Linked DNA regions of Tamandua tetradactyla. The protein of the gene in region 1 interacts with the protein of each later gene in a biochemical or structural test. Links are inferred from orthologs where the notes say so. Each region holds a gene or a part of one and is shown on either strand. Other genes may lie near its edges.

Evidence for each region. The genes of interacting proteins can lie anywhere in the genome.
Region 2: the proteins of ARL2 (region 1) and UNC119 form a complex in vitro, tested with the Homo sapiens proteins (2 studies listed by BioGRID and IntAct, with this or other methods). The link is inferred for Tamandua tetradactyla from reciprocal best matches to the Homo sapiens genes ARL2 and UNC119.

The regions. Positions count from the first base shown.
Region 1 is NC_135335.1:9,561,780-9,569,007, forward strand, and holds the start of ARL2 (ADP-ribosylation factor-like protein 2), read right to left. Parts: upstream 3,017-7,228; 5' UTR 2,559-3,016; coding exon 2,494-2,558; intron 1-2,493. UniProt on the Homo sapiens protein: Small GTP-binding protein which cycles between an inactive GDP-bound and an active GTP-bound form, and the rate of cycling is regulated by guanine nucleotide exchange factors (GEF) and GTPase-activating proteins (GAP).
Region 2 is NC_135332.1:51,779,804-51,787,699, forward strand, and holds the start of UNC119 (protein unc-119 homolog A), read right to left. Parts: upstream 3,003-7,896; 5' UTR 2,891-3,002; coding exon 2,665-2,890; intron 1-2,664. Other genes in the region: GPI-anchor transamidase component PIGS, read right to left, coding at 4,632-4,907, 5,272-5,482, 6,259-6,359, 7,002-7,147. UniProt on the Homo sapiens protein: Involved in synaptic functions in photoreceptor cells, the signal transduction in immune cells as a Src family kinase activator, endosome recycling, the uptake of bacteria and endocytosis, protein trafficking in sensory neurons and as lipid-binding chaperone with specificity for a diverse subset of myristoylated proteins.

The DNA of each region.
Region 1 (7,228 bases):
GGGTTAGGGCATTCTAGGCACAAGGAGCTATAACAGCAAATAAGCAAATACCAGGGAGCAGCCCCGTTGGCCTATTTATGAAATTTCCTGACCCTTTTGCTGCCGAGTAGGTGCAAATGAATGGGTTAGCTTGCCAGTGGGAGAAGCACCCTAGTCTCTCCTTCCAACAAGAAGGAGACTTGTTGGAGCGGGTGGAAGTGGGCAGGCCCTGGGCTCAGCTGCCTGGGCAAGTGACTCCAGTCCAAAAACTTTGGGGTGATAAGAGGATCTCTCCTGGAGCCCAGCCTTAACCCTTTGATTATCCACCCTTCCCCCCAGCATCCATGCTTGCTTCTACCCTGGATCCTTCCCACCAGCTGACAAAGTCACTGTTTCTCTCATCACAGAAAAGGCCAACAAAACCCTGTCTTGATTCCTCTTCCCTCTAGCTATTCTTTTACTCCCTTCTCTTTCCAGTGGATCTCCTGGAAGAAAAAAAAAAACAGGAGTCAATGTTCACCCAGTCTCCAACTTCTGTCCTCTTGCTCTTTCCAGAACCTACTCCCATTGGGCTTTTGCTCCCACAGTTCCCCAAACTGCTCTTGCCATGGCCAGACCCAGTGATGTCCACACTGCTTTCCAATGGCTGGTCAGTTCTCGTGTGCCCCTCGGAGTGGCCCCCTCCCTCCTCCAGACTCTGTCCTGTCCTGCCCTTGCTCAGGCGCTTGCCTTCACCTGGTTCTCACCTCCCTGGCCTCTGGATGCAAGTGCACTTCAGTCTTCTTCTCGGTCTGTCCTTCCTCCCTGGGTCAGCTCATCCAGGATCATGACTTCAAATACCATCTTTATGCTGATGACTCCCCAATCTATACCTCAGGCCCACCCACTCCCCTGGACACTGGTCCATAAAGACAGCTGCCTCCTGACATTGCTAGGATGGCACAGAGGTACTCACAGGGCCAAAGCTGAGCTTTCAGCCCAATCCTTCCTTCCCCACTCCAGGGTTTCTCTATCTCAGCAAGTGGCTCCTCATTCTTCTAATTGCTCAGGCCAGAAATGTGAGTCAGGCTTGACTTTGTTCTCTTTCACACCCACATCCAACCCAGCGGCAATTCCTGCTGGCCCTCCTGTCAAAATGCCTCTCCACTTCCATCACCTCACTGCTTCCATCCCGGTCCCAGCTGCCATCTAACCTTGCCTGCATTATCTTTAAATGCCCCCTAACTGGATTTCCTGCTACTGTCCTTGCATCCCATTATCATCAAAGTAGAAACTGAGAACAATCCTTTCAAGGCCAAAGTCAGATCATACCTTCCTGCACAAAACCCTGCCGTGGTTCCCTTCAACACTTACAGCAGAAGCCAAGAACCCAAAGGCACTCCATGGGGTAGTTCTCCCAGCCCACCCCTTCACCTCCTTGACCTAATCTTCTAGGACCTTCCACCTTGTTCACTTTTCAGCCACACTGCCCTCCCTGGCATCCTCTGGAACACACCAGCTGAGCTCCACCTCCAAGGCCTGTGCAGCTTCTCCAGATACCCTCCGGGTCACAACTTTCTTTACTCAACCCCCACTCTCCCCATGTAGCCTTTCTTGGCCACCTGATTTTAAACTGCTTTCTTCTCCATGCATACTAGATTTCACTTCTTTGTTTTATCATCTTTTGCCAGGAATGACATAACCCCCAGGAGGGCAGAAGTTCCCGTTGGGCTGTTTTACCCCAGCAACCAGGACAGCACCTAGCACAGAATAGGTGCTCCATTAATACCTGAGTAAATTCTCTGTGCCCTTCTCGGGCTTTTCCCTCCCTCAAAAAAAAAACACGGCGTGAGCATTCTTTTTTTTTTAAGCTATCAGCGCACATAAACGTCTGCTTTCGCCTGCTCCGGGAGCTCCGGGGAGGGACCGGCCCAGTTCGCGGATCGCAGGCTCCGTAGGGGGCCTGGCACCGAGGAGGGGGAACGAAGTCAGCGCCTGCTAACGCCTCTCGGCAGGTAGCGGGGCCCCACGGCCTGCAAGGCCCGCGACCAAGGGCCACCGAGGGGACAGGCAGCTGGGCCCGCGCGCACCTCCCCTGGGACCTGAAGGCGGGGCCCGAGCCCCCGGGACTCTGAACTCGAGGGCAGGGCCGGGGCCTGACACCCTCGGACAGGGGGGAGGAGGTCGGAGCCGGGGAGGACAGCGGCCCCGAGCTCGGGCCAGACCGCCAGATGGCGGCGTCCGAGTCACCTCCCGGCCCCAGGTTCCCCAGCATCTGCGACACCGGGTCCCGCCGCTCCGCTTTTAGGCCCACACCTCTGGCCTGTGGAATGGGGCACCCCCCTCCGCCCGTGCAGGTGGTACGGCCTTCTCCCGGCCCCCGCTGGAAGCGATTGGTAGGGCCCACGTGCGTGACGCACACCGGGCAGTTGGCGCCGGCCACCCGGCCGTGCACCCCGCGCCCGATAGGGGGCGCCTGCCCGTCGTGGGTGGGGGCCCTCGGTACCCTCGCAGCTCCCGCGTCCGGGAGGATACAGCATGAGCAGTCGCAGCTCCCGCTCTTTCTGCTTCATCTTCTTCAGAATGGTCAGAAGCCCCATGGTCTTAGGAGCCCCCTCCCGGCAGCCGTTTCTTCCTTAGTCCCGGGAGCCCCGCATCATGCTCCTATTGGCCATCACGCCCACCGACGGCACAGCCTATTGGCCAGTCCTCGCTTGGTCCCGCCCACGCTCTCACGTGACCTCGGAGGGAAGCCGGTGGGGGGGCTTCTGAGTGGGCGCCAGCTTTAACCCTTCGCGTTCCGTTCCTGTCTCCGTAGGGCCGTACGGAAACCCCGGGTTGGATCTTGGTTGGGTGGGGGAGTAACAGCAAAGGGCTGTGACCCGCTGAGTACCCAGAAGTCAGAACCGTGAGGCCCAGGGTGTTGACCGGCTCATCCTGGGGCCTGCAGAAGGCCCTGTTCTCCCGGCTCCGGGTCCGGATCCTTCATTCTGCCGGTGCCGGAGCAGAGGATTGGGCCTCCCTCCTCCTGGGCTCTTGGAATCGGAGAGGGTGGGCCGTCGGGTCTTAATCGGGGGTCGATATTGCCCCCTAGGGGCCTTTTCCAAATGTCTAGTAGTCTTTGGGTTGTCCCAGCGCCGGGGGAGTGTCTCTGGCGTTTGGAGGGCGGCGGGGCGGGGATACCAAGCGTCCCGTGGTGCTGGGAACAGACCCGGCCGAGGAAGAATTGTTCCTCTCCAGATGCCGGCAGCTTTGCTTTTGAGAAGCACAATCCCTCCTTTTGCAGATGTCAAAGTTGAGACCCGAATGGTGGTTAGCACGGTGGCTGGCTGACAGTAGGTGCTCAGTAAATGTTTACGGTGGAATGAATGACTTTGTCTAAGAGTCTTAGCACTCAAGAGGGCCAGCAAAATTGAGGACACTGAGGCCAGGGACCCAGCAGATTGTCGACTGGGATGGAGGAGCCTTATGGTCTTCTTTTGAGCTCTCCCCCCAGCCGGCTACTGGGGCAGTGTGAGCAAGTAGCCCAGCCCCGCCTTATGCTTGGGAAGGAATCTTCAGGCCCCAGCCCAAGGTAACTCCATTCGCAATGCGCTCCATTTGCCTTGAGAGGGCTTGCTCCTTTTTGTAGATGTGCTAATGGAGTCCAAAGAGTTTAGGAAGCTTGGACGCGTGGAAAAAAAATTGCACGGGACAACGTGAGGTTATTTAAGTGCTATAGCAGGGGAGAAAGTAGAACTCAGCTCCTTGGAACTAAGGACAGTCACAGGTGCAGTCAACTGACTGATGATTTAATTAACCAGCCTTCTGGTTTATCAGCCAGCCATGAAATATCCTTACAGTAACGGTCAGGCCAGTGCTTGCCTAACTAGACACCTGGGCATCATCACCTGGTCAGGCTGACACCTGAACCTAAACATCACACCCAGGAAATCAGAATTGAACTACATTGCAGCTGGTGATTGAACCTCCTGCAGTCTTTATAGTCACAAATAGGTTGAAACCTGAAATTGCCTGTATTTGACCGTTGTGACTACAACATGTCAGTTTCAGTAGAATGAATCAAAGAGAAAAACATGGCCAACTTTCCCCACGCAGTGTTTGCCAGAAGGTTGATTTCCATATTTACGTGATGTGTGTACCTCTAGCTGTGGGTCACGGCCTCAAAGCCTGAAAATCATTGCAGCGTGACAGTTAACCTGGGGGTAGGGTTGAGAATAAAGTTATGACCTTAATCGCTTCCAGATTGCTTTTCTTTGCTACTGGTGGCATTGAAATCCTTGTTTAAATGTCAGGCTCAAAGTCCTGCCCTCCAACAAGCAGATGTAGCTGCTTCCCAGGGAACACACCATAGGGTTTCAGTGAACATCAATGGAAAAAGCCACCTGCAAGCTCTGTGAAACCAGGAAGGCTGTCTTGAGCTTCTGGTTACTAATTGCCTGTAGGTTGATATTTATCAGGGGAGGTGGAGGGGCTTTTAAGGACGAGAATGGAGCCCTGCGGTGTGGTGGTTCCACAGGAGGCTAGGGGTGGAATTGCCATATGATCCTGAAACCCCTTTGCTCAGTATGTCCCTGGAAGAACTGAAGGTGGGGACATTTGCACACTGGTGTTTCTGACGGCAGTGTTTGTGATTTGCAAAGGGTGGACGTGGCCTAAGAGTACAACAGTTGAGGAATGGAAAGGAATCTGTGGTGTACACACACAACAGGACGGAATGAAGTTGTGAGGCATGCAACTAAGTGTATGAATGTTAAGGACAGTATGTTGAATGAAATGTCAAGAACAAAAAGACAAATATTATCATGCCTCACTCATGATATAGATTAACTATAATATACAAATTCAGTGAATTGAAGTTGGGAGCATGGGTTATCAGGTTGGGGCCTAGGTTGTGAGCTCTTACAGTAGCCACATCCATTCTGGAGTTTTAATTGTTATTTCTAAATCCTAAAATACTAAGCTGTTTGTGTATAACCTGGTCCTTCCCAGAAATTTTGGGTATTTATGTGACACTTGAGACTCAGAGTTAGAGCTCTGAAGCTATGAAAGTCAGCAGTACCCCATACTGTTTAAAAGTTGAAAAAGGGATCAGGCTTTGAGTAGAGATATGAATGAAGCTAATCTGAACAAGACTAAGGTAAATCAGGATACAGGGTACAGGATGATATCATCCATGTTTTAAAACTTCAACTTCTGTGTGCAACCAAAGGGAGATATGTTTATTTGTTGCAAAATTTTTATTTTGGGTAGTGTATTATCTAATTTAACCTGTATGGTCAGTTTATTTGACCACCATAATTACATGGAATCTTGAATAGGGCATGAGGTCTTGTTGGTTGGTGCAGGTTAGTGCAGGTTAGTCCATATATCCCAAAGTAATGTGGACAAAGAATGAAAAAGCATTTGCAAAGTTCCCTTGGGGAACTGGGGAGAAAGGAGAAAATAGTCAGTTTCCACATCTGGGGAATTATTGATATTCTCACAAGCAGTGAGGAAGACCAATCAATTTAATAGACTGAGCCCTTAATCTTGGGCTTCACCCCTAAGAAACTTATTCCTGCAAAGAAGAAGCTAGGCCTACTTGTAATTATGCCTTAAAGTCACCCCAGAGAACCTCTTTTGTTGCTCAGATGTGACCTCTCTCTCTCTAAGCCAACTTGGCAAGTGAACTCACTGCCCTTCCCCCTACAGGGGCATGACTCCCAGGTGTACAGATATCCCTGGCAACATGGGACAGAACTCCTGGAATGAGCCAGGACCCGGCATGATGGGATTGAGAAAGGCTTCTTGACCAAAAGGGGGAAGAGCAAAATGAGACAAAATAAAGTTTCAGAGGCTGAGAGATTTCGTACAGAGTTGAGAGGTTATCCTGGAGGTTATTCTTTTGTATTCTTATGATTGAATAACGATATTGTTTTTACAGTGTGATTGTGTGATTGTGAAACCTTGTGTCTGATGCTCCCTTTATCCAGGGCATTTATAGATGAGTAAAAAAATAAATAATGGGGGGGGAATAAAGGGGTAAAAAAATTGCATAGATTGAAACGCTAGTGGCCAATGAGAGAGGGGAATGGGATATATGAGTTTTTCTTTTTTCTTTTTATTTCTTTTTCTGGAGTGCTGCAGATGTTCTAAAAAACGATCATGGTGATGAATAAACATCTATGTTATGATATTGTGAGCCACTGATTGTATACTATGGATGGACTGTAAGTGTGTAAAACTTTCTCAATAAAAATATAAAAAGTAAAATAAAACACTGTCACAGGCAGTGTTTTTCTTGTCCTCTTGAGAAGAAGAAAAAAATTCAAAGAAATAAAATCTTTGGGGAATACCTTTGGAAGACAACTGGGAAAGAAGATATATAGAGCTGTAATTATATAATAACGTATAACTCTGTGTGTGTATGTATGTGTGTGTGTGTGTGTATATATATATATATATATATATAATTTTTCTCCCACAAAACAGAATCTTGAAATGAAAATACCCAAATCCTGACAGCTATGAAGCCTGCTTTTGAAGGAGGAACTTTTGTGAGCTATGTGGGCTCCAACTTGAGGATAGAATTCTGGGCATCTTTTTATAAGGCATGCTTTAGCCATTGTCTGTGGAGAACAATTTGGCATTATAGTTTTAATTTAAAAAGTGATAGCCTTTTTGATCCAGCCAATCCACTCCATAGATCACCTTTATAGTCAACAAGGAAAAACCCCAAAACCCTTTTGTCCGGCGGAAAAAAACAAAAGCCAGGGAGAAGACCCAAGTTAAATATAATTGCTGATTGTTAAGCATTAGCAAGAAGTTTGTATATATATATATAAAAAAATTCTTTGGTGTATATATATACCAAAGAATTTTTTTTACACTTTCTCTAAAAGGAATTTTCTATTTGAGTCTTTCAAACTAAAATGATCACATTTGGTTGCTTAAAATAAAGTTAGTTCATTTTTATTAAATTTTAATATAGTAACCCTTATAACGTTTCCCATTTTTAAAAACTTTTTTATTTGGAGCAGGCCATGGTGGCTCAATGGCAAGAATTCTCGCCTGCCATGCCGGAGTCCCGGGTTCCATTCCTGGTACCTGCCCATGCAAAAAACAAACACAAACAAACAAACAAACAAATGAAAAAACCTTTTTATTTTTGAATAAGTTCAACCTACAGGCCAGTTGCTAAAGTAATATAAAACCTGTGCAGAGAACTCCAACATATTCCCATCCAGATATCCACATCCACATTTTGCCACATTTGCCATATCATTCT
Region 2 (7,896 bases), on another chromosome or scaffold:
CTTAAGCAGCTTAGCAAAAGCTCTGCTGACTCAAGCCCAAGAGCCTGGAAAACTGTGGAGGGGGGAAGGGGAACAACTTTGACCCCACTCTTGGTTGATGTCCAAAAGGGGGAAATCTTAGCAAGCTGAGGGAACCCCCTCAAAGATCATCTAGGCCAGCCCAGGTTCTGAGCTTCCCTCACCTTGGCCCCCACAGAGAAAAGCACAGGCCGAGCCAGGGTGAAGGTGTGGCAGGGACAGTAGGGGGTGGGGGGTTGTTCTCAGGCCCAGGAGGGAAACCAGGAACAACGAGGGGCATGGCCTGCTCTTGTAGCAGCAACTTCAAGTGCTCTGCTAGGAGAGGCCCTAGCAACAAATAGGAAGGAGAGGCACAGTGGGGGGTGGGGGTGCACAAAGCACATCTTCCCCTGGCTGCCCATCCCCCGGAAATCACTCTCTAGGCCCCTGGGCCATCTTCTATTCCTCTGGGACAGGAAGAGGAAGTGAATGTAAAGTCATTCGCCTCTTCCCAAGCGTGGGGCAGACCCCGCCAGCAAGTTCTGCTGACAGCCTGGGGCCCAGCGGGGGTGGGGTGGGACACAAAGCTTGGGGCAGGGTCAATCACAGCTTGGAGGGTAAAGGAAGGGGGACGGAAGTAGGGAGCCCCTCCTCCTACTGATTTTCATAGAAAGTTAGCACTAGTCTAAAGATGTAGAGAAAAGGTACAGGGCCTAGGGAGAGGCGTGGGAGAGGTGGAAGCAGAGTTCTAGTTGTCCAACTTCCAGCCCCTGGTAAGGCTCCCCTTTTTCCCCTCACTCTCCAGCTTTTCACTGGGGAACAACCTTTGCAGTCTGACTTCATTCTCTTCTACTGTAAATTCGATATACCAAGCCCTCTGTCCTTACAGGAAATGAAGATTGGGGGACACCCATGGCTCAGAATACCACAGCCACTCCCTCCCTTCTGCCAGGGAGTGATGAGGATTGGGACCCAGGGTCAGGCCAGAATAAAGGGCAAAGAGACTGAGGGCTAAAACCACAACTGTTCCCTTCCCCTCAGCCACAAATAGCTCCCTAAGCTGGATTCTGGGTTTGATAATCCAGGAACTGCTAACCTCAGGCCAGTGTGATTAGGGTCAGAAGAGACAAGGGGGTGCCAAGGCAGAGAGCCCTGAGAGCATTCTCATCCCCTGGGGTTCTCAGCTTCTGCAGAGGAAAGGGCTCCCATGAAGCCACTTCCCCTACTCACAGCCCACAGATGCCCCATCTCTGAGGGCTATGAATTTCCCCCCAGATTAGGTGACTTCGTGGGATGTGGGCAGGAAGCCCTTTGAAGTTGCAAAACATCCCCAGGACTCGGGTCAGACAGACCTCCTGACATCGTCTAAAATTCTGCCCCAGAGTTAAGCTGAATCTTCAAAGATGCTGTTACCAACTGGGCTGCAATTGACACCGACGTCAGCCTGGTTTTCCAGCAGTGCCTACTTGGGCAAAGGAGCTCAGCACTCCAGGGGCCCAGTCAAGAATGGCCGCTATCTGGCTCAGACAGGAGGGAGCTGGGCCCTCAGGGGCCCAGGTGCACAAGCCCAGGCATGTCATCATGGCCCTTCCACAGATGCTGCACTTGCAGCTCCAGGCTGCAGGGCTCAGGTCCTCTCCAGCACCTGCACTCCATCCCCACAGGGAGGGACCCCTGGCCCCACCCTCTGACAGAGGGAGCCAGATCCACTGCCTGTCTGAATGCCACCCAATCTTCAAAGTTCAACCACCAACTCTGCCATGAGGCTTCCTAGTGACTTGTTCCTCTGTTTTGAATGCCTACTTGCCTGCCTCCAGGCAGCAGCTCTGCTGAGCCCTCAGGCTTGTAGGTAAAAAGGTCCTATTTACAGAGCACTTACAGCATGCCAAGCACTGTGCAGAGCATTCGATTTTCATAACCCTATGAAGTAGGAGCCACTATCCCCATTTTGCAGATGTAGAAACATGCTCAGAGGGGTGAAGTTACTTGCCCAAGGTTACACAGCCAGTGACATGGCAAAGCTGTAACACACCCAAGCTGTCCAGCTCAGAGACTTCATAGTGGAGACCCTCCCCGCAGCTCCATGAGTGCCTCAGGTAGAAGACAGAACCTGCTCCTCGCTGGAGGGGGGGGCGGGGGGGGGGGGGAGGCAGGAACCCACTCCGTGGTAGGGACGGGGGCCAACCCACGGAAGCGTCCTGCTCAGTTCTGCTCCAGGCCAGGGGGATGCCGCCGGGGCCCCAGCCTTCCTACACGATCTCCGGCGAGGGTTCTGCTGTCAGGAAGCCCTTGGTGGTCTCGATTTTTTCAGGGGCGGGGACTGGGGACAGGCCCCAAAGGGCTCTTGAGGACTGCATGGGTAAGGGGCTATGGTTGCAACTGTTGCCCCACCTCCATCACGAGAAAGGGAATAGGACTCTCAAAAAAAGAAAGCGGTGGGGAAGAAATAAACATTTAAAAGAGAGAAGGGACTCCCAGGGTAATCAAGGGAAGTGGAGACAGTGGAACCTCAGGCTTGGAGCCATAAGGAAGAGGCATAAAGGTAGGGGAGGGGGACGCGGAGGGGCACCGGGTGCGGGAAAGGGGGCCGGGGCTCCGTGCGCCGTCAGGGCCCTGCTGCCCGCGCGCTCTCGCGCCCGCGGGCGGCGCTCCCTCGCCGGCGCTCACCGCCAGTGATCCGCTGCAGCCCCAGCACGTCCTCCGGCCCGATCGGCTGCTTCCTCTGCAACGGCCCTGGCCGGGGCCTGGGGCCCGCCTCCAGCTCTGACTCAGATCCGGATTCGGATTCCGCCGGCGGCTTTGGCTCGGCCTTGGGCTCCACGTTTGGGCCCGAAGCCCCACGAGCCGGTTCCGCCTCCGTCCCGGCGCCGCCGCCGCCCTTCTTCACCTTCATGGCCTCGCAGGCCCGCGGCTCCTACTGCCGCCACCGCTGCCTGCGCCGGCTGGAGCCGGGGAAGGGGAGCGACCGCAACCCCGCCCCCGGCCGGGGCCCCAGGTACCGCTCCGCCCCTCCACCGGGGTGGGCCCCAACCCAACCCCGCCCACCCGCCGCAGCCCGGCGGAAAGGGGGCGGCGCGGCGGATCGACGCTCTCCCTGGGCTTCATTCTTTCGGTAGATGTTTCAGGGGGTTCTCCCTACAGCTCCTGGCTGTGCGCCAGTCACTCTGCCCTTGACCCATCAAGCTCGTCCCAGCCTTCGGGGTCTTTGCCTGCGACGCTCTTCTCCTATATGGTCTCTTCTTGTCCACTTGGTCCCAGCTCAAATGCCATCTGCTCAAAGGCCCCCAGCAGTCCCACTTTTAAGTACACCCTTCCCCCCCACCCCAGCTGCTATCTGATCAGCCTGTTTTTTCTTTCTAGTACAGTTACCTGAAGTTATTTTAACTTGCTCCCCGACCCTTCTCCCTAAAAGATCAACTCTGTGAAAGCAGAACCTGTCTGCTTCATTCCCCATATACCCCCAGCCTCAAGCAGTGTCCAGAAAAGCCAGTGCTCTATAAATTTGCTTTTTACTAACTGATGAATTAATATTTGTTAGTACTCACTGATTCTCTCCCAGAGCCTTTGCTAAGATGCAGAAATAGCTGCAGCAGCCTTGTTGGACAACCCAGTATGCACAGAGAGATAACAACCCAGGTGTCCTGCCCTACAGAACAGAGACAGGCAAAGCACATGGCCAGGTGGAGGTGAGGCAGGCCTGTGAACCCAGGAGGGTAGATACCAGGAAACGGTCACTTACACGTGATTGAAAGAATTCAAAGTATACCCATCCTTCACATGATTCTAATTCATATTCAACCAATGTTTATTGAGAGCCTAGTATGAGCCAGATACCTTTATATGCTTTACCTCGTTCAATCCTCATAACCACCTAGTGAAAGAGGTATCATTAGTGCCATTTAACAGGCAAAGAACTGAGGCTCAGAGAGATTAAGTGGCTTATCAAAAGCTCCACAGATGACAAGTGCAGAAGAAAGGATTTAAACTCAGGCCTATTTAATTCCAAGTCCAGAACTTTTCTCACTGTACCACACTGCCTTTCTAAGTGGGTGAATGGAATCTCTCCCACACACACAGCACTAGGTCCTGAGCTGCTTGCTGTCTTCTGGACTCTTATCTGGCTGTACCAAGAGGCATGGCCAGCCAGGCGGGAGGGGAGGAGGCCCCAGAAGTGACCTATGCCTGGCCCTTCCATCACAGCAGTGCTGGGGCTCTCCCGGAGGGATCAGAGAGAAGTGTTGAGTCGGGGGATCCAACCCAGGAACCCAGGGCTTTCCCCTAACATTGCCTTCTTGGTAGGAGAGGAATGTGCCATGTTGAGAAACAGGACAGAGTCACAAGCTGCCCCTGGCCTAGAAAGAAGTCAGCAGGGGCCTTCAAGTTCAAGTCAGATATGGAGACCCAGATGATGCCACTTTTTGAGGAGTGGGGTGATGGGGGAAAATGGAGCCCAGGAAATGGGACAAGAGGAGAGGTGAACCCATCCTGGAGTGCTGTACTTTGGTTGTTGGAGAGGCAGTGGAGGCGGCTAGAGACAAACAAGTCGTCCTGGCAGGCTCCCTTTATAAGTCTCTCAATCAAACACCTCCCACCCTGGCCAGAAAAGAAGAGTCCCTACTGAGATGTTGTCCTGCTCAGTCTATCTTCTCAGGCTTCTTCCAGGACTTGCGTGTCTCTAAGAAGATCTTGGCCAGGGACAGGAGGATGGGCACAGCCATGGGCAGGAAGAGTGGGATGTAGATTGCAAACTTCTGGTCATCAGGGAAATAAAGGAGATGGAGGAGTGAGGGGTCAAAAAAGGCACGCTCTGAGGATGTCACAGCTTCCTGGCTGGCAGTGAAGGCAGAGGCCAGGTGTCCAGCGGCCAACTCCTCTGTCGCTTTCTGGACTGCAGCTACCGCTCTGTACACCTAGAAATAGGAGCATTTCAGTGGAAAGTGTGCCTTCTGTCTACCAGGGCCTACAGTTTGCATAAGGTATGTGAAAGGTTATGGGGGTATTTTCTTAGAGGCAGTGGAGGAGGCTAGAGACGAACAAGTCATTCCGGGCAAGCCCCATTTATGTGCCTCTCAATCAAACACCTCCTTCCCTGCTCAAAATCTCATACTCCCATTTCATCTCCTGCTGTGGAGCTGGTACTGCCCACTGAGGCACTTAAGGATGGCAGGCCCACACATGCCCTGGTGGTATGTGAGAACTGGCTCTCTTTGGTCTCACCACACACTGGCCCTCGCTGGATTCTGAGGCCACAAAGTCCACCCCATGCCCATTTACCTCAGATGCCACATCATCCTTGATAACAATGTTGCTGATCTTGCCCAGAAGCTGGGCCAGGGAGGTGAGGGTGGTGGTGGCCGTGGCTAGGTTCTCCACTGATCGAGCCCAGAGCAGCCGGTCCAGCTCCCACGTCATTAGCCCTTCACTCCTCGGCCCAGAAAGCAGACATTTCAGAGGCACCTGGGGCTGAGCAATCCCAAAGAGCAGCCTGCAGGAAGAGAAAAGTAAGATCAAGATGGCTGATACGAGAAAGTGGTAGAAGGCAGCTAAGATTCCTCAAATATCTGCCCCAAAGCCAGATTCTTGACCTTACTCAGAACCACAGGGCTTATGGGGAAGTGCCTCAGGGTCTGGGTCTGGGGAGTCAGCAGCAAAACCCAGGAATCAGAGCCCTAAATCCTACTTCAACCAGTGTTTCCACTTTTACCTATTTCTATATATGAATTTCCAAGATCTTACTTGAAAAAGGTTCCATGGCTAAAAAATATCTGATCAAGTATACTGATTTAGTTTAATCCCCTCACCCTCTCTACCCTCTCTTTGGACAAACGGGCCCCTGGGACTTAGAGATAAGGGATGATCCAGGGCCACCTATGACAAGGCTTGGGTGCAGTGCCTCTCTAATTCTGCACCCAGGGTAGACACTGCTAATCGATCAGAAGAATACTCTTTCTTGATGAACTCAGAAACAACCGTAGAATCCATCGATCACTCAGTACAAGAATTAACAGCTGTTTCCTCAAGCACCCCTAATCACACCTCATGGACCTGACATTCATGAGTCTACCTTTCTTAAAAGGGAGCTTGTCCCACAACTAGACCTTCTTAGGAAAAGGAAGATGCAATCTTTGGAAACCTCTCCGAGCAAGGTATTCCTGCCAGGTGAGATTTCATTCTGATCTGAAATTCCCACCCTCTACAGTCAAGGAGATTGTCGCTAGACTCTCAGTGGCATGCCCCCAAGTGGATCACCCGGGACCTTACCGCAACTGAGCCAGGAACACCTCCATTACCCGCACCATGTCTACCTCCACTCTCACCGGCAGCCCTGAGGCATTGTAGGCTTTGGGGTCTACGTTGTATATCTGAAAGGAGGGATGAGGTTGCCACACCATCACGCCAGGAATGTGCACAGTTCTGCCCCAGACACCCCTGGCGACCATGTGCAGAGCTGTGCACAGAGAAAGGAAGGACAGTCTCTGTCCTTTAGAAGCTACAGCTAACACTTACTGGGAGCTTTACATAAATTATCTCAATTATCCCCTCAAAAGACCTGTAAAATGATATTTTTATCTCATTTTAGAGTTTTCACCTATGAAGAACTCCTAGTCTAAAGTTGGGAGACAAAAATTCCCAACTTTGCAAGCCTCCCACACATAGGGCCAAGATTAAAAATGTATACAAAGGGCAGGCCGCGGCGGCTCAGTGGCAGAGTTCTTGCCTGCCATGCTGGAGACCCGGGTTCAATTCCCAGTGCCTGCCCATGTTTAAAAAAAAAATGTACACAGAATAGTCCTAAGTAAGTGCAAAAGGTCATATTACATAAAACACTGACAGAGATAAGAAACAGTGGGGCAGGTTGAGGAAGGGAATGAGCACAGAGCACCTCACTGCCTTGGTGCCTATAGCTGGTGCCTCCCCCTCCTCCACCAACAGAAGGAAGAGTCTCAGGGAACATCTCTCTGTCACTGAAGCTTGAGTTCTGGGGTATGCAGTGTGACTATTACCATAATGCCACCCCAGCGGGGGCTGTGGAAGGCATTGGTGGCCACCAGAGCCCCGTCCTTGTCCTGAATGTAGAGGGGAGAGTGGGCAAGCTCAGGCACGTAGAGTAAAAAGTTGAGCACAGGGTAAAGAGAAGCAGCGCTGGATCCTGTGGCACAGAGAGAAGGGTAGACAGAACACCAAAACACAATGGACCTAGCTTAGTTCCAGATCAGCCTCTAATGTGCCAGTCACTCACTTCGGGCCTCAGTTTCCCAACTGCCCATCTCTACCATACCCTCCAGTCTTGGGTTTCTGTGGCAAAGGACCTCTGAACACTCTCCCAAGGTCTGCCACAAGGAAAGACTGCAGTCCTTATTCCCAAAAGGCCCCAGAAATCCCCCCACCTCTAAGAGGCGCCCTTGATTGTCTAAACCAGCTCTCTCGGCAAGTGCCACACTGTATCCATATTGCTAGAGCTAGATTTATGCACAAGTATAGCTCTGATCTTCATGTCAGTTCCCTGCTTAATATTCTTCAATGGCTAGTCATTAATTTTGGGTTAAAATTCAAACTCCCTAATGGGGTCCTTTATGATCTGGTGCCTGGTTGCCTTGCCAGAGCCTAACCTTTGGTCACTCCCTCACAGCTCAGCCACACTCAACTACTCTGAACTTCCCTTTTCCTGAAAGCCTCTTCTATCTCTGTAGTCATCACTGCCATGAAGCAGTCCCTCAGCCAATGTTTGTTGAATGAATGAATGGAGAAAGATTTTGCCATTCAAGTGCTGCCCTTCCACGCCCCTTGGTCCACACTGGCCTACCTCTAGTGTCTGGAATCCCACCATTAGCAACAGACTCAGTCTTGTTTGCCTGCATGACAGCTCTTGGGCCCACCTTGTTCACACTTTCTCTCCCT